Callithrix jacchus: one gene and its partner. The protein of the gene in region 1 purifies or fractionates together with the protein of each later gene. This does not show direct contact. Links are inferred from orthologs where the notes say so. Each region holds a gene or a part of one and is shown on either strand. Other genes may lie near its edges.

What was found.
Region 2: the proteins of PHF6 (region 1) and LYAR purify together in Homo sapiens (affinity purification with mass spectrometry; 3 studies listed by BioGRID and IntAct, with this or other methods). This does not show direct contact. The link is inferred for Callithrix jacchus from reciprocal best matches to the Homo sapiens genes PHF6 and LYAR.

What each region holds. Positions count from the first base shown.
Region 1 is NC_133524.1:129,925,109-129,937,227, reverse strand, and holds the start of PHF6 (PHD finger protein 6), read right to left. Parts: upstream 9,658-12,119; 5' UTR 9,531-9,657; exon of another isoform or gene 9,320-9,530; intron 6,399-9,319; exon of another isoform or gene 6,318-6,398; intron 5,479-6,317; 5' UTR 5,433-5,478; coding exon 5,295-5,432; intron 5,053-5,294; coding exon 4,951-5,052; intron 1-4,950.
Region 2 is NC_133504.1:184,455,016-184,467,572, reverse strand, and holds the start of LYAR (cell growth-regulating nucleolar protein), read left to right. Parts: upstream 1-5,860; 5' UTR 5,861-6,067; intron 6,068-9,151; exon of another isoform or gene 9,152-9,205; intron 9,206-11,771; 5' UTR 11,772-11,823; coding exon 11,824-11,945; intron 11,946-12,557. Other genes in the region: ZBTB49 (zinc finger and BTB domain-containing protein 49), read right to left, coding at 4,761-4,852. UniProt on the Homo sapiens protein: Plays a role in the maintenance of the appropriate processing of 47S/45S pre-rRNA to 32S/30S pre-rRNAs and their subsequent processing to produce 18S and 28S rRNAs. Also acts at the level of transcription regulation.

The DNA of each region.
Region 1 (12,119 bases):
TGGATGCAGTGGCACAATCGTAGTTCCCGACAGCCTCAAACTCCTGAGCTTAAGCAATCCTCCCATCTCAGCCTCTTGAGTAACTAGGCCTACAGAAACACAACACATTTCAAAATTTTTAAATTTTTTTGTAGAGATAGGGATCTCGCTTTGTTGTCCAGGCTGGTCTTCAACTCCTGGCCTCAAGCAATCCTCCCAGTTGGCCTCCCAAAGTACTGGGATTACAGGTGTGAGCCAACTCTCAGGCCAAAAAATCTTATCTTGAAGGGCTTGCAGGTAATCTTGCAGAGGGGTAAGAAAGGTGAACTAAATGGCCTTCTGAACACTCTCTTCTTGTAATCTGTGATATAATCTGACACAGGTACCAATTAGAATAATAGCTATTTGAGGAGGCAGGTGGATCACTTGAGGTCAGGAGGTCAAGTACAGCCCGGCCAACATAGCAAAACTCTGTCTCTATTAAAAATACAAAAAATTAGCTGGGCGTGTTGGCAGGCACCTGTAATCCCAGCTACTTGGGAGGCTGAGGCAGGAGAATCACTTGAACCTGGGAGGCAGAGGTTGCAGTGACGGGATTGGAACACTGCACTCCAGCCTGGGCAACAAGAGCGAAACTTCATCTCAAAAAAAAAAAAAGAGTAATAGCTATCCAATGTAGATACACCTAGTGATCTCACCAGCTAGCTTCATCCAGAAACAGTAAATTCTTCAAATATCCTTCTCTCAAGTATCTCCTTAAACAAATTCAAAAAAGCAATGATAACTCATAATTTTACTTGGAAATTTGCATTTCTTGGCTAGGTGACTGGAGAGTAAGAATAGATGGTACAGATGTGGTATCTCCATATGGCTTCAGTAGGAATTGGAAATCCTACAGACAGATATATCCTGGAAAAATATATCTGTCTAAACTGCAAAAACAGGGCCTCAAATCATAAAAGCCTTAGTACTCTAGCAAATTTTCCCTGGTCCATCCTGGTGCTATATAATTAAAGATAGTGTAAAGGAGGTGAAAAAGCTCATACAGAATGGCTTTCCTCCTCTGATCCTTGTGGCTGACGTGAAAACCTTGGAAAATTTCCTGTGGCAGCAACACATAAAAACCATACACTCGTACCTCCTGCTCTACTGGGCCCTCTCATCCACAACTCTGACCCACCTGGCTGTTGATACATACATTTTAACCTCAAACCCCAGCCTCCTTATCTCTGTCCTTTTCTTTGGGGCAAGTGAGCAACTTTGGAGTCAACACCAGGTACAGATTGGAATCTGTCTTGAAAGCACTCAGGGGTCCATACTCCAGTTTTTGATGATTTGTTTTTCCCCCGCTTTTATTTTTGAGACAGACTCTTGTTCTACCCCCGAGGCTGGAGTGCAGTGGCGCAATCTCGGCTCACTACAACCTCCGCCTCTTGGTTTCAAGTGATTCTCAAGCCTCAGCCTCCCAAGTAGCTGGGATTATAGGCATCTACCACCACATCTGGCTCATTTTTGTATTTTTGGTAGAGATGGGGTTTTGCCAGGTTGGCCAGGCTGGTCTTGAACTCCTGACCTCAGGTGATCCACCTGCCTCAGCCTCCCAGAGTGCTAGAATTACGGGCATGAGCCACCATGCCCGGATCGATGATTTTCAATGAGTGTTCATGACCTACTTTTCATCTAGAAATCCAGATGAACAGGAGCCAGAGCAAACAGGCTCATAGGATAAAATGCCTTAAAAAGTCAATTAGTGGCCAGGTGCAGTGGTGCACACCTGTAATCCCAGCACTCTGGGAGGCTGAAGCAGGTGGGTCACCTGAGGTCAGGAGTTCGCGACCAGCCTAACTAACATGGTAAAACCTCCTCCCTACTAAATACAAAAAAATTAGCCAGGCATTGTGGTGCATGCCTGTAATCCAAGCAACTTGGGAGGCTGAGACAGGAGAATCACTTGTACTTGGGAAGTGAAGGTTGCAGTGAGCCAGGATCACACCATTGCACTCCAGCCTGGGCAACAAGAGTGAAACTCCATCACGCAAAAAAAAAAGTCAATTAGGGAAGTTGATTACCTAGTTTATATGTAATTTATCTAGTTACATAAAGCTCTTCACTCTTTTTTTTTTTTGCCCTCCTATTTGATTTATAGCCCTTTTATTGCTTAGTCAAATTGAAATAAGGAATAATAGAGAATAAAACTAAAATCTGGAATTTAGGTTACCTGATAGCCTGTCATATAAAAATGATATAAAGAAAGAAGCAAAATTGAAGGCTAAAAGGAGTTTCAAAAATTATTTCGAACCTAAACCTATAAATGTCACATTCCTATCCCCTATATAAGTTGTTTAAACTGTGACATTCTAGAGGAGGGAAACGAACAAAAGTTCTTCTCTTCTGCCACTATTCCTCAGTGCTCACGCCTGTAATCCCAGCACTTTGGGAGGTGAGGCGGGCAGACTGTCTGAGGTCAAGAGTTCAAGACCAGCCTGGCCAATGTGGCAAAACCCTCTCTCTATTAAAAATAAAAAACTTTAAAAAATTAGCCAGGCATGGTGGCGGGCACCTGTAGTCCCAGTTACTCAGGAGGCTGAAGCAGGAGAATTCCTTGAACCTGGGAGGTGGAGGCTGCAGTGAGCTGAGATTGTGTCACTGCACTCCAGCCTGGGCAACAGAGCAAGACTCTGTCTCAAAAAAAACAAAACACAACAAAAAACAATAACTCTAAGTGGTGGCTACTATTTATCAAGTCCTAACCATGTGCTCAGCACCATCTTAAATCCTATATACTTTCTCTTTTAATCCTGGCAATAATTCTGGGAGACAAGTACTGTCATTATCTACCCCCTTAGGCAGGTGAGGAAAACATGGCCTAGAGAAATAAATAACTGACTCGGGATCACCTAGCTAGTAAATGACAGAGCAGGGATTCAAACTCAAGTCTGTTACTAAATCTTGTGCTCTCAATTCCCAATATTGTTCCATTCCCTAAATCAAGGAGCAAGTTTAGTTATTTATAACATGCTACACTTGGGGAAAAAAATTATCTCCCTACACTATAACATTAAAAATTAATCAAAACAATTTATAATAATGAAACTTGTACAAAAGTTCTTATGCTTTAACAAATAGATCCAAATAAATTAAATCTCCATTGAATTTAGCAATATTGACATATGTATGCTGTTGCTTCATGTAACATTAACACTAGGCATTGCATTTGTTAATAACATTTCAACATTAGAGACAAAAACTGCTTTTGTTCTGATAGAAGCTGTATCAAGTGACAAAATGCTAACAAGTCAGGATACAGAAATATTTTCCAGGGAGATTCATAATGTCAAGCAATAAATAAAGGAGTAATAAGGTTTATAGCACAATCACTTTCAAGTAAGTATCATTCTTTTTTATATCTGCACTTATTTTAAAGACTAGGAAATAAAAACATAGCGCTATGGTTCTCAGATATCCGCACAGTAACATGAAGAAACTTGAAACCACCAAATAAAATTTACATTAAAAAAACAGAGCTTTCTAGGCTGGGTGCAGTGGCTCATGCCTGTAATCCCAGCACTTTGGGAAGCCAAAGTGGGTGGATCACCTGAGGTCTGGGGTTTGAGACCAGCCTGACCAACATGGTGAAACCTGTCTCTATTAAAAATACAAAATTAGCTAGGCATGGTGGTGCATGCCTGTAAATCCCAGCTACTTGAGAGGCTGAGGCAGGAGAATCACTTGAACCTGGGAGGCAGATGTTGGGAGTGAGCTAAGACTGTGTCATTGCACTCCAGCCTGGGTAACAAGAGTGAAACTCTGTGTCAAAAAAAAAGAAAGAAAGAAAAAGAAAAAGAACCAGAGCTTTCTATTACTATCTACAGTTTTTGGGATGGGGAAGATAAACATTTTCACAGTTAAGGTCCCGCTACAACAAAAATGGTCGGACTTCTGAACTCTCCTTTGTACTAACACTGATGCTAGGATTTGAGACCATCCTAAAGCAAATCTCAAATGTCATCTTTAAATGTATATTTCTTCATATTGCTTTTTATATAAAACTATTAACAGATGACTACTTTTTAAAATGTATTACTACTGATCATCAAAATGACAGCCCCCCTCTTCCCATTACCATTTCATCCAAAAACTACCATCTCAGAGTCTGTGTGAAATAAGAGGTTATTTAGTAACTACAAACACAGTTATATGTTCGGCAAAACCCGTCTTTTAAAAAATGAAACTTGATAGTGAAGCTACTAAAGGTACATTTATTGATGCAATTTTAATAAAGAGTTCAAATGAGAAAAACAAAAATAAATCTTACCATTAACTGTTCCAAAGCAAACCATAATATGTCATAAGTACCAACTGAGATGACACTACTATTCCAATAAAGCAATGTAGTATCTTACTAATATGGTTACTGGTAGTGAAGATAACTACGGAAACATTACTCTAATGCAGCTTCAGAACAACAGCTCCTGTGAAATTCACTGAGTTATCCAAAGTCATAAATGCTGTGTTATACAACTGAACCACAGTGAAATATTTTTTTCAGCAAGTGCTAACATTTTCCTATTGAGAGGCTACTATCATCTTCGTTTGTAATGACCATAATAACTTTATCACAGAGACGAAAACATAGCAGAATTATGAAAAATAAACTTGAATGAAGACTTTAACACAATATATACTCAAATTAACCAAACTGCTTGTTTTCTAAGTAAACAGCCTCCAAAAAGATTTTAATTCTCTTTGAAAAGCAAAAAAAATTGAATAGCATAAATATTGACTCATTCCTTTTTGTTGAATGGCAAATAAGATAAACTCGGCCTTGGATTTTGCTGGCTCAGGAAAAAAAAAAGCCTGCAATTTAAAATTATACTCAGTTAATAATGCAATACACTCTAAAAGAAGCAACTTCTGATTTAATGAGTTTAAAATAATTTTTATTCTCAAGAGGCAGAAATACCAACTTACCAGCTTCGTGCCTCTTTTAATTTCCTTTTGGACATCTTCAATAGAAAATCCACCAAGACTTTCATTATCAGAGTGTGATGATACCAAAGCAGATGAAAAGAGCTATAAATTACATTTAAAAAAAATTAAGGTTCATATATAAATTAATTACAGTAAAACAGTAAATATGTTAAATTTAAATGGTAATTTTCTAGTAAAAATGGCATAGTATTAGTGATAAACCATTTCTTAAAATTTAACTGAGCTTTTTTTTGTTTTTCATTTTTTTTAGTATTCAGACATTCACATGTTATTAAGATTCTCTTGCATGGTTTCAAGGTCTCCGTTGCTGCCAGTATACTTACCATACACTTATGGTGCGCTGCCACCTTCTGGTTTTCAGATATTAGTAACTGTCCACATTCCTTGTCTCTATTTGACTTACAAAAGCCACATTTGCGCTGTCTTGTAGGCCCTTTTTTCTGTTCAACTGAGCTTGACATGATTTTTAAATTGCCTTTAGAATGCCACTTTAAGCCTCAAGAAATGCTACAGAGAATAAGAAGGGCGATAATGTTAATTTTATTTTAAAATCAGTTTATACATATTCATGTAAGTTGTTAAAAATTTGACCTAGGTTTTCATATACACATTTTTAAATGTTTATTTAGTACAGACAAATTAAGCCACTCTAAGCCCCAAGAAATGCTACAAAGAATAAGAAGGGTAACAAAGTTCATTTTGTTTTAAAATCAGTTTATAAATATTCATGTAAGTTGCTTAATGTTTGACCTAGGTTTTAATATATACAGTTTTAAATGGTTATTTAGTATACATAAATTAACATTAAAACCTGATGCCTCCATAATAAATACAGATAGATAGACAGATAGCTAAATTAAGTTTAGAGTAATTGAGAAAAATCAAACTGTTCCCAAATTGGAGGATATGTGAAATAACTGACACTATTTCTGTGTGGATAAAAATATACAATGTATAATATTAAATTATCACCTGCTGGCATAATTAATGTAAAATACTTTTCATGCGTAGCTAGGTGCCCCTTCAAGGAGATAAAGAATTATACCTCTTGAGAACAGAGCAAAAGCTACTGAGGAAACTTCAGAATACTTGAACAATTTCTTAATGTTCACATATAGATAAAACAATAAAAGTAAAATGAATCTACCTAACTATGACTTTGGTGTACTTTATAATTATTTATGGGTTTAAAAAGTCAGGTATATAACTTTAATAAATTAATTTTTGCTAGTCTATTCCATTTTCAAATAAATAAAAAATTAAGCTTCAAACTGTCTATTCAAAAATGCAGACTTTAAGACCCAATTATTTTTTAAACAATCGTATTAAATGACTCTAAGATTTACCTCAAGTTGGCTTGTCAATTAAAGTCACAAACTGATAGTGGTCTTCTAAATGTAGTAACTTCCATACTTAAATTAGTAATACTGTGTGAAGGAAGAAATGTTTTTTGAATGAGCCTTAAATTTGGTCATATTATAATTATAGGTAATACAGTGTAGTCAAACAAAAAAAGGGAAGGAAAGCTCTAACATGAAAGATTTCAGATTTATATCATCAATCTTAATATGGATTCTTCAGAAGAAATTTAAAATTAGTTACTTGATTTGCATAGCTTTCCCAAATCAACAGGACTAAGCAGTTGAAGACCCAGGTTGCCACAACACACATCACAATCAAGAAAAATCTCAAACTTTTGTCTTAAAATTAATTTGCTAAAATCTTTCCATTTGTCTACATATGTGAAGTTTTATAATATTACACTGAAAAAAATTGTCTAACACTATATTGCAGCTTTCTTAGAAGCATTTGTTCACCAGCAAGAACAGTAGCAGCTGTATGCTAGGAAGGTATTATCTACAAACTATTCAGTGCTTTTCAATATAAAAATTCAGACACTTAATCAAAATTTAACCTGAAGCCACAAAGAAAACATGTCTTCTCATCCATTTATGTCTAGAATTTTCTTTTTAACCCAACTTCAAAGGCCCTGACAGTCTCTGCTTTGATAGGTTTCACAAACTCTTAATGCTATCTATAATTTTAAATATCTCAGTCTTCCAAATGGCAACAGATACTTTACCATGGTACTGTATTCATAGCACTGGCCATAAACTGTGAAACTGATTGGAAACAGGCAGCAAATACTTTCAGGATTAAAGGAAAAAAAAAAGGACATAACAGAGAAACAAAAGAAACAAAAGGAAAGTGTGTTTGCATTTGCTCAGGGAAATGTATGTTCGGTTGCTTTATCAAAAACATAGCTGCCCAAAATTTAGAATTAACTATGCAAAATACTGAAATCTGTAAATAGCATCAGAATTTGCTATTATATTTGAGTTCTAAATTCGTTCTTTACTACTACGCAATGAATAGTAGGCACTCTGAAATCACCATAATAATGTATTCAGCATTACTCCCGGTCATCCTGGCCAGTTGAAAGGATGGCACAGTATAAATCAAATCCGTACAGACATCTTAAATGTGTAATTTCCATACAATCTTAGCACTGGCTATACAACTGGCTTAAGATAAAGAAAATTTCTAGCGTGGAAAAAAATCACTTCGTATTCTTTAATTCCGAAATGGCATCCCCAAATTTCTATCTATATTGAATTCTGCCTCTTCCAATGTATATACAAGCACATTTCTCACCCTAATTTTGAGAACCTGCTTTTCTAGATATCGAAGACCCCAAAATCTAAAAGAGAAAAAAACGTATACTTTATTTTGCATTCAAAAATATTCTAGTGTATTTTTTTCTGTAAACAGTTTAAATTTAATTTGCAAAGTGAGAAGAGCCACAAAAAAAGTGCACCAAACCAATTAAAAACTTTCCCCAACGTGCAATGACTAAATGGATTTTTCCACTGAAATTCAAATAATACATCTGTGCATATGTTGGTAATTTTTTTACAGTCTCCTTGTAAAACATGAAGTGGAGAACATCATGGAAACAATGACTTCTAGCAAAAATATCCTTATCATAAAAGTACAGATTTTTATCTAATGTTGTCACATTTGTGGTCTCTAGTTAAGTAGAATAAGGGCATTCCAAGGACCAATACTAAGGGGTTCATAATGATTCACAGTTATATGGCATTTTAATTTTAGTCTAAAAGGTCTTTCAGGCCATGCGGAGATCAAAGTTTGATGCTTTCACGCAACAATGAAGGCTTTTCCTTAAAAGAAACATCGCAATATGGAAAATACTACAAGGCAGAAATGAAGAGGCAACCATAACAGCGTGAAATACATAATTAAAATGCCTGGAAAAAAAATAAAAGGAAGATTAGCTAAACTGAAGCGATGCTGCGAAGCACCAAGGTAGGAAGAACTTGAAACATCAGAGAGAGCATTCAAGAACCAACTCGAGAGCTCATTCAATGCCTGGAATCTGAAAAAGCATTTTCACAGAAAAACAAACAAAACAACAAAAACTGCAGTTCCGGAAGATTGAGATATTCCATGTGAACACAAACTGAAATATACAAATCAAAATAGATAACAAACTCGATCCCCCATAGAAGCAGTATTTGTAACAGGAAAGTTACAGTGGACAGAAATAAACGAGTAAGATGTACCGGAAGGGCACCTGAATTTGGTTGCACGATATTACATGCTTCGCACTGCTTTTTGCGGTTATTCAAAAGGAAACTAAAGGAATTTTCCAGTTGTTTCAAACCCAAGGGGAGAGAAAGAATTTGAACAATATAAATAAGACCTGACATTACGTAGTAAGGCGATGAAAATAAAAGATTTTCTAAAAACAAAAGATTTTTCAACTTCCACGCGGAATATCGAAACGAATGGAAATTGGAAAAGAATACCTCGCTGTTCATCCATCTAATGAAGGACGGTACACATAAAGTACCGGATCCTCTCCGTTATTTATTCCCCCAATACACACTAGATTACAAGATCTCCTTCTAACCAAGCGCTAAAGTCACAAAACTATCTTCCTCTAAAATACTTCAGCAGGTTCCTTTCCGTCGTAAAGTCAGGATCCCCTAATCGTCCTTTTCCAATCCTCCCGAATCCAGGAAAATATCATCCTACCACTTTCTTTATGCCCCCTCCCCCAAGAGTTAGCCCTCTCTCAGTCACCGTTGTAAGCTTTCCTTTATACCTCAGTTTCACCCCTTATTCCCTCGACCCCGGAGTTTTTTCTCATTCCGTATGGCTATCTCTCTTGCCATCCTAACAATTCTTCCTCTTACTCTTCCCAAACTGGGAGTCTCTCTCCTTCCCAAATATGTTCTAAGCAATGGCAAAAACTAAAAATTCCCAGTTTTTCCCCTCCTCAAATGTTGCACCCCCTCCCCCGAAGTCTAGACGTAAGCCTAACCTCTCCTTCTGCACCTCCAAATCACTTTCTCAGCAGCCTCTCCGCCAAGCGCCTACAATGAGCGACGCTTCTGGGGTCCCTGACAATAAAGCGAGACCACCAAGAGTCCCTTTTAACAACGGGCAGGGGCGGCGGCCTGGCTACCGCCATCCTCCTTGTCTTCTCCCGCCGGGCAGAGAATGGGGGGCCCCAGGGTTCCGTGGGGACTCACCCGCAGGGCCCAGAGACGTAAGGCAGGAGAGAAGCGCCAATGAGGGTAAAGAGAAAGAAGTCGATCTCGGTTCTCCGACAGTGCCTGAGAGCGGGGCTCTGTCGCCGGAGGTTGTTTCCTTTCATTCGAGGAGAGACGGGCTCGCGGAGCGCCCTTACGTCGCCCCCCTCGCACGCACACGACCCACAGAGCGTTGATACGTTCCGAGCGCGCCGCGGGCCCTGATTGGCCGCAGAGAGGGGGTAGCTGAAGCCGCAGAACCACGGCGCAAGTGCAGAAACCACCTCCTGTACGACTCGAGGCGGCAGGCCCCGCCTCCTGCTCGCGCGCGTACCTTCTATTCTCCGCTTCGCCACTCAGCCAAGTGTTTGCGGGCCGGATCCGCGAAGATAGAGAAAGAGATTCAAAGATATAGCTGTGGGCTGGGCGGAGAAGGGGCAGGGTTGGGACTGGAAACCGTTGGACAGGGGCCCTGGGTAACCAGTTCAGAACGTTGATTCACGTAGACAGGCCTTATCCCTTGCACTTGTTCGCTGAGGCCTTTTCACGTCCATTATTTCATTGTACTCTCGTGGCATCTCTTTGAGGTCCTCCGTTCATTATATTACCAGGAAAGACTGAGAGGCTCGTAGTGGAGTCATTCTGCCTGAATTTCAATCCTTGGGCGAATTGTTTTAACCACTATATCTTAATTTTTTTTTGTCTTTAAAATGGGGATAAAAATAGTGCCTCATGGGTTTGTGGTAAGGAAGAAATGAAAGAATGTAACTTAAGCGTGTTACTAGCATCCCTGGCATATAACAGACTCTCCATAAATGCTGGGATTATCATATCAGAAAAGAGAAGGTGATTTTCTTTATACTTGTAAACCAGACACCTAAACGAGTGCTTTCCTCTTTGGTGTATTGGAGCCAGATCCCTTAGGTTTGAACTCCAGCTCCACCACTTCTAATAGCTCTATGACCTTGATCGCTTTGTACTACCTCTCAGTCCCTCGGTTTCATCCTGTCCAAAATGGAGATCATAATGGTATTTGTCTCAAAAGGTAGTTATGAGAAATGAGATAATATACGTAAACCACACAATAACGCCTAGACACATAATATGCCCTATATAAAGGTTAGCTTTTGTTATTTTCTACTGGCTTCACAGACTTAAATTTTTTAAAAAAAAACGTAACCAGTGAAAACTTAAAGATGCTCTTCAAGAGCCATTTTTCCTGTAGTGGGAGTGGATTTCCACTGTCATGATCCAATGTTATTTCTTTACTGTTTGTCAATCTTTTTACTTTTGTCTGCAACGTCAACTTTGATTTCCCAAGCAAACAGTGACCGTGGTGATGCGACGTTGTAACTTTTCAAATAGGTACCTAATAAAGGTGGACGACTTAGCCATTTAGCTGCAAGGAACCCTTAGCCCTTTAACCTGAGACCCTATGCTGTGAAAGGGAGTGGCTAAAGATTTGCATAAGAAGATCCAGAATGTGTATTCCAAACATTTATGCTGTATAGGAAACAGGTTCCCCAGCATCATTTTCTACCAACTTTACACACTTACTGATGCCAGGGTGAGACAGATGATTGTGTGACAAAATGCGGTGCCTGTGCGGTATGCCATCCTTTTAAGTTTCCCCCCAAATCCCTACATGTTGCTATCTTTTATTCATTATTTCATCTATGCATTCATTTCAACAAACTTTGATTCAATAAACACTTGCAAAACTACTAAGTTCCAAACACGATGGAGACCAAGATCAATACAACTCAATCCCTGCCTCTGAGCTCATGGTCAAAAAGAGGCGACAACAAACAAACATATACAGTATGTGATCAATGCTGTATTAGAAATGTGTGGCAGGCACAGACATCTGCCTATTATGTACAAAGCGCTATGCTGAGGTACAACACAACAGTAACTAAGACACAGCCCTTGCCTTCAATTGTTTACAATCTAGCAAGAAAAAGTTGGTTACAATAGGAGATACACTACAGTGAGTGCCTTAAAACATGGAAAGGAAGTGCAGAGAGAGTTCAGGAGAGGGATATATCAGTGACTCTAGTTACTTCCAGGCCCTTAGTCTGGTAGCCAGTTCCAATTAGCATGACTGTTAGATGCAGCCTGTTATTTCAAGGCCTACAGAAAGGAATCAGATTGTGATAACAAGCCTTAATGCCTGCCGATTATAGCGTGAGATCTAGTCATCTTCTATTGATTCACCGATACACTCTCACCGACACTTTTCCAGTTTTTTTTCTTCAGGCTCCAGATCTCACTTTTCCCACCTCATTCTCAGCAAAGGCATTAATCTCATGACTTATTTAGCAAAGGGCCATCTGAGCTAAGCTACTTTATCTTGTACACCTACCCTCCCATGCTGCCTTCAAGACTCCCAGAAAGAGCTGTACCTCTTGCTTTCTAAAACTTTTCAAAGCTGTGCTTTTAATTACATCTTTTCCATGCTCTGGAGGATCTGATTCCCTACTTATTACCTGTTCCAGTGGCATCTACTACCCTGCTCTCATTTGCCTTCAAACTATGGGATTCCTCTACTTTCACTGCCAGACTGCAGTTGCTTCTTTGCCTCCAATT
Region 2 (12,557 bases), on another chromosome or scaffold:
CTGATAAGGACATACCTGAGACTGGGTAATTTACAAAAGAAACAGGTTTATTAGACTTACAGTTTCACATGGCTGGGGAGGCCTCACAATCTTGGGGGAAGGTGAAAGGCAAGGAGGGGCAAGTCATATCTTACATGGATGGCAGCAGGCAAAGAGAGCTTCTGCAGGGAAATTCCCTTTTTAAAACCATCAAATCTCGTGAGACTCATTCACTATCATACCATTATGAGAACAGCTCAGGAAAGGCCCACCCCCACCAGGTTAACTACCACCAGGTTCCTCCCACGACACGTGGTGATTGTGGGAGTTATAATTCAAGATGAGTTTTGGGTGGGGACACAGCCAAACCATATCATTTTGCAACCTTGCTTCCACTCTCTCTGCTGAAACAGACTTTCCCCACAACGACCTTTCCTCAGACCCCAACCATCCTCTCCATCTTTCCTGCCACACATGGCAGTGTTGTCTGCCAACTCCCATCCTGAAATCTCTCTTTTCCCAGAAATCTTCTGGTTCTTTTCCTATGTCCCTGATCTGTCCCATCCCCATGCTGTGCCTGTCTCCCTTGAGCCTTGCAAACATTGATGTTCCTTAAGGTGCAGCATGGTAGCCCTCTCCTCTTTCCCTTGGCAATCACCTTCATTCTTAGCTTTCACATGTTCTAACACAGCTCCTAAATGTGAAACTTTCGCTTCAGCTACCAGTTCCAATCTCCCACTACCTGCTAAATTTCTTCAATGGCATGCCCCTTCAACTTAGAATCTCTAAACTTCATCCCCCCATCACCTCACCTATCAACTCTAGACCTTGATTCCCCTCATCTCTTCATGGAAAGCTTTGTTTGGGGTATTGGCATGATCTCCTGGTTTGAGATCACCGTGAGATTCAGAGAAAACTGGGACAAAGAGCAACACTGAGGTACTGGGATGGCTAATGCCGCCCCAAACAAGAGTATAGAAAGAAAGGCAATGATGGTAGGTGGTAGACACTGTTCCCAGTGCTGAATCCTCAAGGATAGTGAACAGCCACATGAGTAATCAGTTACTCTTCACACCGTGCTGCTTGCTTGAAAAGGCTTCCAAGTTTATCATTCCTTTTAGCTATCACTTACTGACTACTTACCGCAGATCTGTGCTAAGCATGTCATATCTGATATGGTTTGGCTTTGTGTTCTCACCCAAACCGTAATCCCCATATGTCCAGGGAGGGACCTGGTGGGAGGCAACTGGATCATGGGAGCAGTTTCCTCCATGCTGTTCTTGTGACAGTGAATGAGTTGTCACCAGATCTGATGGTTTAAAAATGTCTGGCAGTCCCCACTCCCCTCCACCCAGTTCTCTCTCCCCTGCTGCAATGTAAGATATGCCTGGTTTCCCCTTCGCCTTCTGCCATGATTGTAAGTTTCCTGAGGCCTCTTCAGTGATGTGGAACTGTGAGTCAATTAAATCTCCTTCCTTCGTAAATTACCCACTCTCAGGTAGTATCCTTATATCAGTGTGAAAATGGATTAATACAATATCCATTAACTGAAACAATTCTACAAGAACCGAATTACCATCATTTACAAGAGAAACAATTGAGATATGGAGAGTTTAAGTCATTTATCCAAAATCATACAACTATTATGTGCCAAAGTCAAGATTTGAATCCTGGTCCCTAAACACTGGAGTGTATGCTTTATCTCCCACGGGAATAAAGACATTTTACACACACACACGAAACCCTCCTCCATGGACCTAACTGTTAAAATTAGGTAAAACTGTCTAATTATATAAATGTAAATGTCTAGGTAATTTAGGTAGAGGTCTAATTAGAAAATTAGACATTTTCTAGCTCTATAGAAGTGATAAAGAAAAGTTCTTTGGAATGACCCCCAGAGATATGATGCTATGCAGTGGTGAACTGTTACACATTGACTTTTACTATAAGAATTATAGGCTGGGTGCAGAGGTTCACACTTGTAATCCCACCACTTTGGGAGGCCAAGGCAGGAGGATCACTTAAGGCATGGAGTTCAAGACCAGTCTGGCCATCATAATGAAACCCTGTCTCCACTAAAAATACAAAAATCAGCCAGGCATGATGGCTCACGCCTGTAATCTGAACTACTCAGAAGACAGAGGCACAAGAATTGCTTGAACCTGGGAGGAGGTTGAGGTGAGCTGAGATCAAGCCACTGCACTCCAGCCTGGGCAACACAGCAAGACTCTGTCTCAAAAAAAAATTATAACTATTTCATATCATTTTGTATAGTTCTCTAAATAACTTCATGATGTCAATCCTGTACCTCCCCAATACAGTTATAAAAAGGTCTGGGGGAAAAAAACCCTGTATCTTATATTTCTCATGTGTTCTGTAAATTATAACTATAAACAAAAATGTATCTTATACCTAATAATAACGATTATGACAAATACCTACATTTTCTAGATGCCAGGCACTATATTCTAAGCCCTCTACACTTAGGAATTCATTTATTGTAAGACAGGTACTACTATTATCCACATTTTACAGGTGAGAACAACGAGGAAGTTGGTAGATTTCAGACAGACACAAATTCTCTCATGCTTCTCCCATGGGGTGGTGGAGTCTAGGTCTCCTTCCCTTGAATCTGTGCAGGCTCTGCCTTAATCAGATTCTGTGCTTATAAAGCTGTGCTCATTTCCCAGGCCCAGGCCTGAAGAACTAACAGCTTCCACTTCCCATCTTTTGGAACACCAGCTATGGAAGGCCTGAGCCACCTGTAAGATGCCCAACTAGACAAAATGCATGGAGGCAGAGAAGGGTTCAGGGGCTCCCAGAGAAGCCATCCTGACCTCACCAGGCTAGGCCCTCCTCCAGCGGAATGCCACTGAGTGATCCCAGTTGCCACCACATAGAATTGAAGAATTTCCCAGGTGACACCTGCCTGAATGCCTAACCCACAGAATTATGAGATAAAATAGTTTTTAAGTCACCAAATTTGGGGATAGTGTGTTACATAGCAATAGAAAACCTGACCATGTATAGAGAAGATGGTCACACAGCTAAAAAGTAATAGGTAAGCAATAAGGGACAGAGGTGGGATTCAAAGCCAGGGAATCTGACACCAAAGCCACACTCATCCACTGCTTCCTTTGATCGGAATCAGCTGCCTCTTCAGTCTACTGCCTAAGCCTGATTGTCCAGGTAATCCCACAGACAAGCGCCGTATTAAGGGACTGTACAATTCATGACTAACGTGTGCTACACAAGGTGTTGTAGTGTGACAGGAGGAGCACAGGGTTCTCTTCCATCGTTGCAGCTAACTCACCTGGTGACAAGCAGCAAAGATTTTCTGTGGTGAAGACATGGACTCCACCTGTCTTACTGAACAATGTATCTCTGGTACCTACCAGAGGTGTCTTTGACATAGTAGGCACTCAATACATATTTCTGAATGGATCAGACTCTCGGCCTCAGTTTTTCATCCATAACAATGGAGGAGTCCCCCACTGGACTAGATGAGCTCTAAGGTTTCTTCTTGTTCTAAAAGCTACAAATCTCAAGGAATGTGATGGTGGAAAGATGGTATGAATGGCAACAAATGAAAATATGGGGGGAAAAGAAACAAGAAAAGGCTTCCATCAATGTGAATGAAGAAATGCTTCTAAAGGAAACAAGAGCCAGAATGGAGTTTCAACCTGCAGAGAAGACTCCTAGAGCAGAGGCACCTCAATTCTATCAACAGGTCAAATACTACTGGATAGAATTTGTGGATGTTTTCTCAGCTGAGCCATTAATAGATGACTTCTTCAGGGGCCCACAGCTCACACACCTTATTACCAAGCTTACCTTAGAGGGCTCCTAAGGAGTCTGCCCATCAACATACTTTCCAAATGGCTTACTCATAGCCCCTCACCTCCACCCCACTCAGAAAAGCACTGGCTTGAAGCAAACAAACATGGAGTCTTGTCTTAGCTTTATACTGAATCTTATCATACCGGGAAGGCCAATTCAGTTAAACAGATATTCTGTGCCTAATAAGTACAACAAATTGTCGAGAGGACTGAATGCTGACAAATGGAACAAGATGATTCCCTGCCTGTGCCTCAGTTTTCGATCATTCACCTAATTTTACAGAGTGCCCATTATACTCTAGGCACTGAAGGTACAATGGCAAACACATCAGACATGGTCATCCGTGTCTTCACGAAGCATCAGTCTAGTGGGAAAAACAATCGTCACACTGTACCAGGGTTATTAAATGGAGGAAGCAGAAATTAATTTGGGAGGAAGGGTCACGGAAAACTTCCTGGAAGACACATCTAGGCTGAAACATGAGTTAACTTTGCCAGACAAAAAATGAGAAGGCTCACCCACTTTTGAGTTTTCAGGGGGACAAAATGGAAAAAAAAAAAAAAAAAAAAAGCAGGAGAGCGCAAACAAGACTGAACTACACATATGTGCCCTGAACACAAAAAGACACCGTGAGTACCCTGCTTTTAAGCCTCTTGTGCATTCCGTCACTTCTGTTGGAAAATATATCCCCCCTTGTCCATTCTTGTCAATTCCTTTCGTTATGGGTAAACTGTTCCCCCAGAATCACAGAATGTGACTGTATTTGGAGATCAGCCTTGTAAAGGGGTAATTAAGTTACAATGAGGCCATTAAGGTCGGCCCTAATACAATCTGACTGATGTTCTTACGAAGAGAGGAAATTGGGATACAAAGAGAGACACCACAGATGGAAAACACAGAGGAAGCACCATGTGATGACACAGCAAGAAGTAAGTGCCTACCCGCAATCCGAGGAGAAATGTCTCAGAAGAAAGCAAACCTGATGACACCTTGATCTTGGACTTCTAACCTCCAGAACTGTGAGAAAATACATTTCTGGTGTTTAAGCCACCCGGCATTTTGTTTGCAGCCCTAGGAAACGAATACACCTTCTATTCCAGGCCCAACACTGCTCATTTCCAGAGTGAAACCTTCCTTATCGCCCACATTACACACACCTTGGGGTTAAGGTTTCTCACAATACTCTGTACATCCTCCATTCAACTTTCATTCATTCCTTTAAGCAACAAACGCCTAGTGACCACCACTGTATGCCAGACCCTATCTTAAGGGCTGAGAACAGCTAACGTTTATTGAGCACTTACTAAGTGGCAGCCAGTACTCTAAGCGATTTACATGCACAACTCATGAAATCAGACAAGGTTCCAGAGACGCAGGTGCCGCTATGATACCCGCTTTACGGATGCCGTGCTGAGGCACAGAGAGGCCACACCGTAATGAGACTGAGCTAGGCTGTGGGTTCTGTCGTCTTAAGCACTACTGTCAACTACAGGGTGGAAGAAAACAGGAACCGAGAGATGGGCAGCGCGGGGCGGAGGCGGGCGGGACTGGCTTCCTGCGGGCAAAGCCTGGAGATGAGAGCACGCGGGTGGGGTGTCCAGGCCGAGGGAGCTACACGGGAGAAGGCCCGGCTCCCAGGCCCGGAACCTGGCCTTCTGGGTCTCGGTCCGCGTCCCCTGCGATGCCCGGCACAGAGCAGATGCTCGCTGACTCTCGCAGGGGCCGCCAGTATCCTCGAGCACCCTGGGATGCGGAGGGAGCTGCGGGTCCATGCCCTACTGGGCCACCTTCGGACGCTCGGCCTCCCTTCCCTTCCGGGCCATTTCCACCCTCGCCAGCCCCGCCTGCCTTCGCGAGGCCGGCCACCTTACCCTCGGAGACCGCTCTCTGCCCCGCCGCCTTGATCTACACCTGCCGCCGCGGTCCTGCCTCAGGCCAGCTCGCCTGGCCCAGCCGGCCGCGGAACCATCCCGACCACGCCCCCTTGGCTTGCAGGAACCGCCCTCCCGCTTCCGTTGGCGTCACTTCCGCTGGGTGGGGTGTTGTGTGGCCCCGGTGCGCAGACGCGCCGGGTGGCTCGGGAGTGAATTCCGCGCTGCGAAGCCTGAGAGGCCGGTAGTTGTGGCGCTGGGCGGGCGGCGGCAATTCCACGTGCTCCCTGCGGCCGGTTGAAACCGTTGGCGGGCGCTGGCTGAGAGGTGAGGGGCGGTGGCCCAGAGGTCCGACCTAGATGGCTGGGGCTCAGAGAGTGAGTAGGGGAAGGACTGGGTGGCCGATCCACTGTCAGCTCCTCTAGCATACGCATGGAGGAAGGAGTTCCATTCAGATCTTATTCGGGCTCTGGGGAAGTGGCAGGAGTTCTGGACTTAGGGTGACCAACTTGTTTTAGTTTTAAAACTGAAAGTCCCGCGTCCTGGGAACCCCCTCGGGCCTGGCCAAACCAGGACGGTTGGTCACCACCCGACTGGGCTTCAGGTTTGCTGCATGTTGGGGACAGGGCTCTTCTCTTGAGCCTTGGGACCTCAGTCCCTAAGGAGGAAGCCTTAGGATGTTGAGGACCAGAGAACGGACTTCGGGCCGGAATAACTGCCTGTGAATCTGGGTCGCCACCACCTGGATGTGTGATGACCTGGTGTAAGTTTTTTAAACTTCTTTGCGCCTCAGTTTCCTCATCTGTCATAACATATAGAACCTAACTCGGAGGACTGTGATGAGGATTAAATGAGTAGAAATGTGTTAACCTCCTATGAGAGGGCTTGGGTGCTCCATAAATGTTAGGATTCTCTGCAGCACCTCCCTCTGAGGAGAGGGGGAGAGCAATGAGGTGGGTGTGTATTTGCAACCGGACCTTCCTGCAGACAAGTCCAACTTGGGACTTACTCACACTGTGCCCCAGGCTCCCAGGGTCTAGCATAGTGCCTGACACTTGATAGTTACTCGACTGAAGGGATAGTGTTTAAAACAGTGCTGGTGATGTTGTGGGTGGGGTGGGAGGCATAGAAACATGGCTTCTGTAAGCCTCAGTTGATCTGTTTAGTGGAGATGGCTGCACTTACTTCCTAGGGCTTTTGCAAGGAACAAGGGAGAGGTCCTCGCCTTGTGAATGTCCCCCGTTGTAACCCTGGTCAGCCCCACATGTAAAGGTTTAGGCAGGATGGTGGACAGAGTATGTTTGTGCTTCTCCTGCACCATACCCGTGGTTTCTCACAATGCTGCCCATGGAAGGGGCTTGAGTGTTGTCTGGTTGGCCTGACTTCTTGTTTCACAGATGAGAGAACTTCAAGTTTAAAGGGGCAGTGGCATGCTCAGGGTCACAGTGCTCAGTGGGGGAATGTCCTGGGGTTGCCAGCCAGACCCCTCAGGTGGGCTGTTTCAGTGGTAGTGGTGGTAATGGTGTGCAGGTCAGTGTTTGTCTGCGCATGAAAGGATATTTTAAGAATAGTCGGCCAGCCGCTGTGGTTCACTCCTGTAATCCCAGCACTTTGGGAGGCCGAGGCAGGTGGATCATCTGAGGTCAGGAGTTCACCACCAGCCTGGCCAGTGTGGTGAAACCCCGTCTCTAAACTAAAATACAAAAATTAGCCGGACGTAGGTTGACGTGCACCTGTAGTCCCAGCTACTCCGGAGGCTGACGCAGGAGAATCGCTTGAACCCGGGAGGTGGAGTTTGCAGTGAGCTGAGATTGCACCACTTCACTCCAACCTTGGCGAAAGAGCAAGACTCTGTCTCAGGAAAAAAATAAATAAATAAAAGATAGTCAATATTGTTTTTGTGAAAAAATTTAATAAATAATACAAAAATGGGAGGAAGGTTAAAAAAAAAATTCATTCCACTCCCAGAACCAAACCTAAGGGCATGTTATCAGGGCACGTAATGGTCGAGTAGGCACCCATGGGGTGAGGAGCCAGAGAAGGTTGGAGTGAATTTATAAAGATAAATTGGTGGGTTGATGGTCATATTTAATGGAGCTGGGGCTTGGGAGAGGGCTGGGTGTAATGGCATTGATGTGCAAATTAGTAGGCCACAGAGAAACCTTTCTACATTGGACGAGGATGAAGCTCTCGTATCTGGTGTCTTAAAACTTTCCACCCAATGCTTTGAGTTAAGTATTAGATCTATTTTATAGATAAGCAGATTCTTGGAGGTTAAGATGCTTTGAGGTCATTTAGTTTTTAATGATTTTTTTTGGCATTAGCAGATCCTCAACCCAAGTCAGGTCCCAGTCCAACAAAACCTGGCAACCATCTTGTTAAGAGAAACCTATCAAGTTCCCTGCCCCTTACGGACCACTGGCTGCTGTCACTCAACTAGCTTTGCTGCCCAGCTGACAGCCTCTCCTGTGACATGGGTGGTCTCCTTGCCCACTGCGCACAGACTTTATAATTAAGGCTTAGGGTTCTAATGTTTATACTGGAAAGTCATCTTGTGGAGGCTTTAATTTTTTTTCTCTTTGGATGAGGACCTCAAGGTCTCAGGTGCTGAGTTAAAGCCAAGCAAACAGCCAGGACACGGCAGGTCAAGATGGAGGCAGGATGGGAACCTGGGCTTGTTGCCTGGTCTTTCAGGCTACCTATCCCACTTACTGTGACTTCGGGCAGTTCACTTACCCTCCTGAGCCTTGGGTTTTCCCTCCAGATGGTGGTGTTTGATCATAGAAGTCCTGGTGGACATAAATGGGACATGGCTTTGTAGAGCGCTTGTGATCGTGTGTTCTATTGTGCAGACTCCGTCATCTCTTTTGTGGGTGTGGCATGTGATGAGAGCTCAGTAAACTGACCGAACAGACAGTCGAGGAGGCAGCCAGAAGCGCAGGCAGAGTAACTGAGTGAGGACCCCCGGCGGATGCTGTGGTGGATAGCATAGCCCCAGCATTTAGGAAATGTCTGCTGAACTGAGTTAAAGTGACTTACCTGGGGCAAGAATGGAAGTATGCTCTCAGCCAGTCCAAGAACGCCGCCTTCTGCTTGCTTTTCTCTTTTAACGTGCCCACGTGGCTAGAAGGAAAGCGTACAGAATCTCTGTGGCTGCACTGGAACTGAACATCGTGCATAGGAAGTTGAGGAGCCAGGGAAGGAAAAGAGGACTCTGTTTCGATCCAGCCCCATAAGAAACTGCCATCTTTTTACACTTAGGGCTAAACGTTGAAATCTGTCACATCTGAGCCTGGCAGACAGGGTGTCTTCAAAGTCTCAATGCAGTTTTAAGGTTTCATAATTTCAGAAGCATAAATGCTGCATACTTGCCAAAAATTAAAGAAAGTTTAATTAAATTTTCTTTATGCTTATCTAGTCTTGTGGAATTTGAATAATACCATTTTACTTTATTGTTTTAGGCAATGTTTGCTGTCTTCCATTAGAGGGACTGAATTTCCACGTGATGGCTTTTTGTAAGTTTGTAGCATTTATACTTATGAATATTAAGCCTACTGTGCAGTTATGCTGACTTTGAAGGTTATGATGGTTTTGAGCTTTTCTTTGAAGCTCTAGCAAGTGTTTATGGCGTAAATTACAGATATTTTCCCCTGGGGCTAGGTCGGGTTTGAGGTGTAATCAAGGTGTCTCTTGACCAGCTGCTGGGCTGTCCTCCAGGCCCTGAATAAGGGGGAGGTAAGCTCCTTACAGACCTTAGCTCATTAGCCAAGCAAGTGGACACTGCTGTTCCCGTTTCATGGCACGTGTAAAATCAAAAGGAAGGCAGGAAGAGACAGAGTTCTGACTTCCTGTGCAATCCATCCATTCTGCCTTAAACAAAGACCAAATGAAAATGATGGGAGAGTTATTTTTCAGCTGGCACATAATCAGATTCTAATCATCTTCCGAATTGCTATTAACTACACTGTAGGGTGTGGCTAATCTCCAGAGAGCTCGAATGTTTCGCACAGATACTCTTGAGTATCTTTTTGTCAACATCACTGCTTCTTTCAGTCACTATATTTTGTTTCCAGCTTCCTTCCTAGGCCTTTAATTCCTGACCTGCCAGGACAGGAATCTCCCAATTGAATCTTAAGGCTTGTTGAAAGCTTGCTTTCTCCCATCTCCCTCTCCATCAAGAGATAGAATTGTCCTTAGCAACAGAGGTTGGCAAGCTCTAAGCCATATCTAAGTTCAGGGACTGTTTTTTGTTGTTGTATCTTCTTAGGAAAGTACTTGAAAGCTTTTCAGCAGATAATTTGGCATATCACAGCTGCTTTCACCTTGTGCCTGTGATGAGAATCTGTTTCTTGGTGACATTAATAAGTTATTCCTGCTCTTACACCAAAGTACACCTCCAGGCTCTTTGAGAATTCGGTGTTGGCTCTTGTTCAGCCTTTGTTCTCCCTTGTCAGGCAGGATAGCGGCTCTTGTTGCCTGGCATGTGGGACATCCTTGGCCTTTTTTAGATGGTAGGCTTTGAGGGAGCTGGCTCATGGGAAATGTGGTTCCAGCTCCCAGGAGCCTGGTAGTATCACACATCTTAACAGTAACCAGATGTGAAGATGACAGTTGCTGCAGCACATCCAGGGTTTTCTTTCCTGAGAATTTGGTACTAGGTTGTAGCTGACCGCATGCCCCGTGCTTACTAGAGTACACTGATAGTGAGCAGAGGAGTGGGGCCTGGGACCCAGGGTCAGGGTTCTGTGGTTTGTGTGTAGCATAGAAGCTGAACTGATGTCTGATAGTGTCCCACAGGACAGCTCCACAAGAGACCAGCTGGGCCTCCGTAAACCCTGGAGATGCAGCCAGGTTGTACATTTCCATTCAAGGCTGAATGGACATGAATAACCCTGGGTATTGCTTGGGTGTGACCTTACCAGCAGTGATCCAGAACATGTTGGTGGAGGAGCGACGGTGTTTTCATGCATGAGAATGGTCTGCAAAACAAGGGTAGATCTGAAAGATTGTTGGATGAAGCCCTACCGTGAAGTAAATTACATCTGTTTACCTGACACTCACCTTTATTTTCATAATGAGAAAGAAAGCACTGGGTTAAACAGTTCTCAGTATGTTTGCTGTGAAACTTACAATGTAAAACAATACTGTTTTAAAATGTAGTGATTAACACATTATGTAAGTGTGGAAAATTACTGTGACTTCTCTAACGCTTTTAGATGAATGTATTTTTCCTTGAGCACAGTAGCATTTCTGTGAAATTTTAAAATGATGTTTATGTACGTGTACAGGCATACTTCATGCTGGAGCAGTGCTCGGCACCCCTGGGTTCGTGAACTCCGGTAATTCAGCACCCAGCAGTTGGGACACCTGGACATGGTTCCATTTCTTTCTGACTTGTCTGACAAGCTGCCACATGAAGGAGGCCCCTGTCCATTACAGCTGAGGCACATGTCCTCATTTTAACATCTGTAGACATACAGTAATATTGATATGAATGCTGTTAGTGCCATAGCAATTATGTCCATAGAATTGCCTCTTCTCCACTTTCTAAACTTCGCTCAGTTTTCCTCTTGCTGTGCTCTTAGTGTATTTGAGGACCTGAAATAGTTAGTAGTGAACACCTAAATTGCAGTGCGTTCTCTAAGTTTATGTAATTGAGAGAGCTTAAGATATTAGGGAAAGGAAGATTTAACACCCTCAAAGCTCATTATCTTGAGAGTCAATCTGCCAGGTTTAAATCCTGGTCCTGTTAACCGTGCATCCTTGGGCAAGTTATGTAATCTCTGCATCTCAGTGAACAATGATAGTCCTTTCCTCATAGGGTTGCTATGGGGATTTAATAAGTGAATACATGTAAAGCCCCTGGAATAATGCCTGGCACATGATAAGGACACAATAAATGTTAGCCATTGTCACCGTTAATGTTAGTTTTACTTATATGAATGGAGGAGTTTTATGTAGATTGCTAATCAGCTTTGACTGTTATTTTCATGTGAAATTATGGTTGAAAAGTTAGCTGCATGAGCCATTTATTGAAATGAGAAGCTTCAGTTTATAATGATAATTATCTTTTTTTTTTAGGACCAGACCTAAAACCTGTCTTGGATAGCGAATATTTAGCCATTTACCTAAAATGGTATTTTTTACATGCAATGCATGTGGCGAATCAGTGAAGAAAATCCAAGTGGAAAAGCATGTGTCTGTTTGCAGAAACTGTGAATGCCTTTCTTGCATTGACTGTGGCAAAGATTTCTGGTAAGCTTCACAGAATTCATGTAGATCCATAGTAAATCAGACCAGTTTTGGAAGGCTTGGCACCACAAAGCTTGGAAAAATAGTGGCAAATTTGAGGAAATAAATTAAGAATAAAAACTGGTATGGTCCATTGATTAAAACTCATGTGATTCTTTACAATGTGCTTTACTAGGCTGGGCGCAGTGGCTCACGCCTGTAATCCCAACACTTTGGGAGGCCGAGGCAGGCAGATCACGAGGTCAGGAGTTCGAGACCAGCCTGGCCAACATGGTGAAATTCCATCTCTACTAAAAAATATAAAAATTAGCCTGGCATGGTGGTGTGCATCTGCAGTCCCAGCTACTCAGGAGGCTGAGGCAGGAGAATCGCTTGAACCTGGGAGGCTGAGGTTGCAGTGAGCTAAGATTGCACCATTGTACTCCAGCTCTGGGCGACAGAGCAAGACTCCTTTTCAGGAGGGAAATCAAATGTGCCTTACTAAACAATTTGTTTTTTGAGGATGTGTTAAAGAGAAGACTAGGGGAAGGGGAATTATGATTAGAGCATTCAGTTGGTGACACTGGTTGCTATTCCATTGCCACTGTTACCAGACCCAAGGAAGCAACACATGGA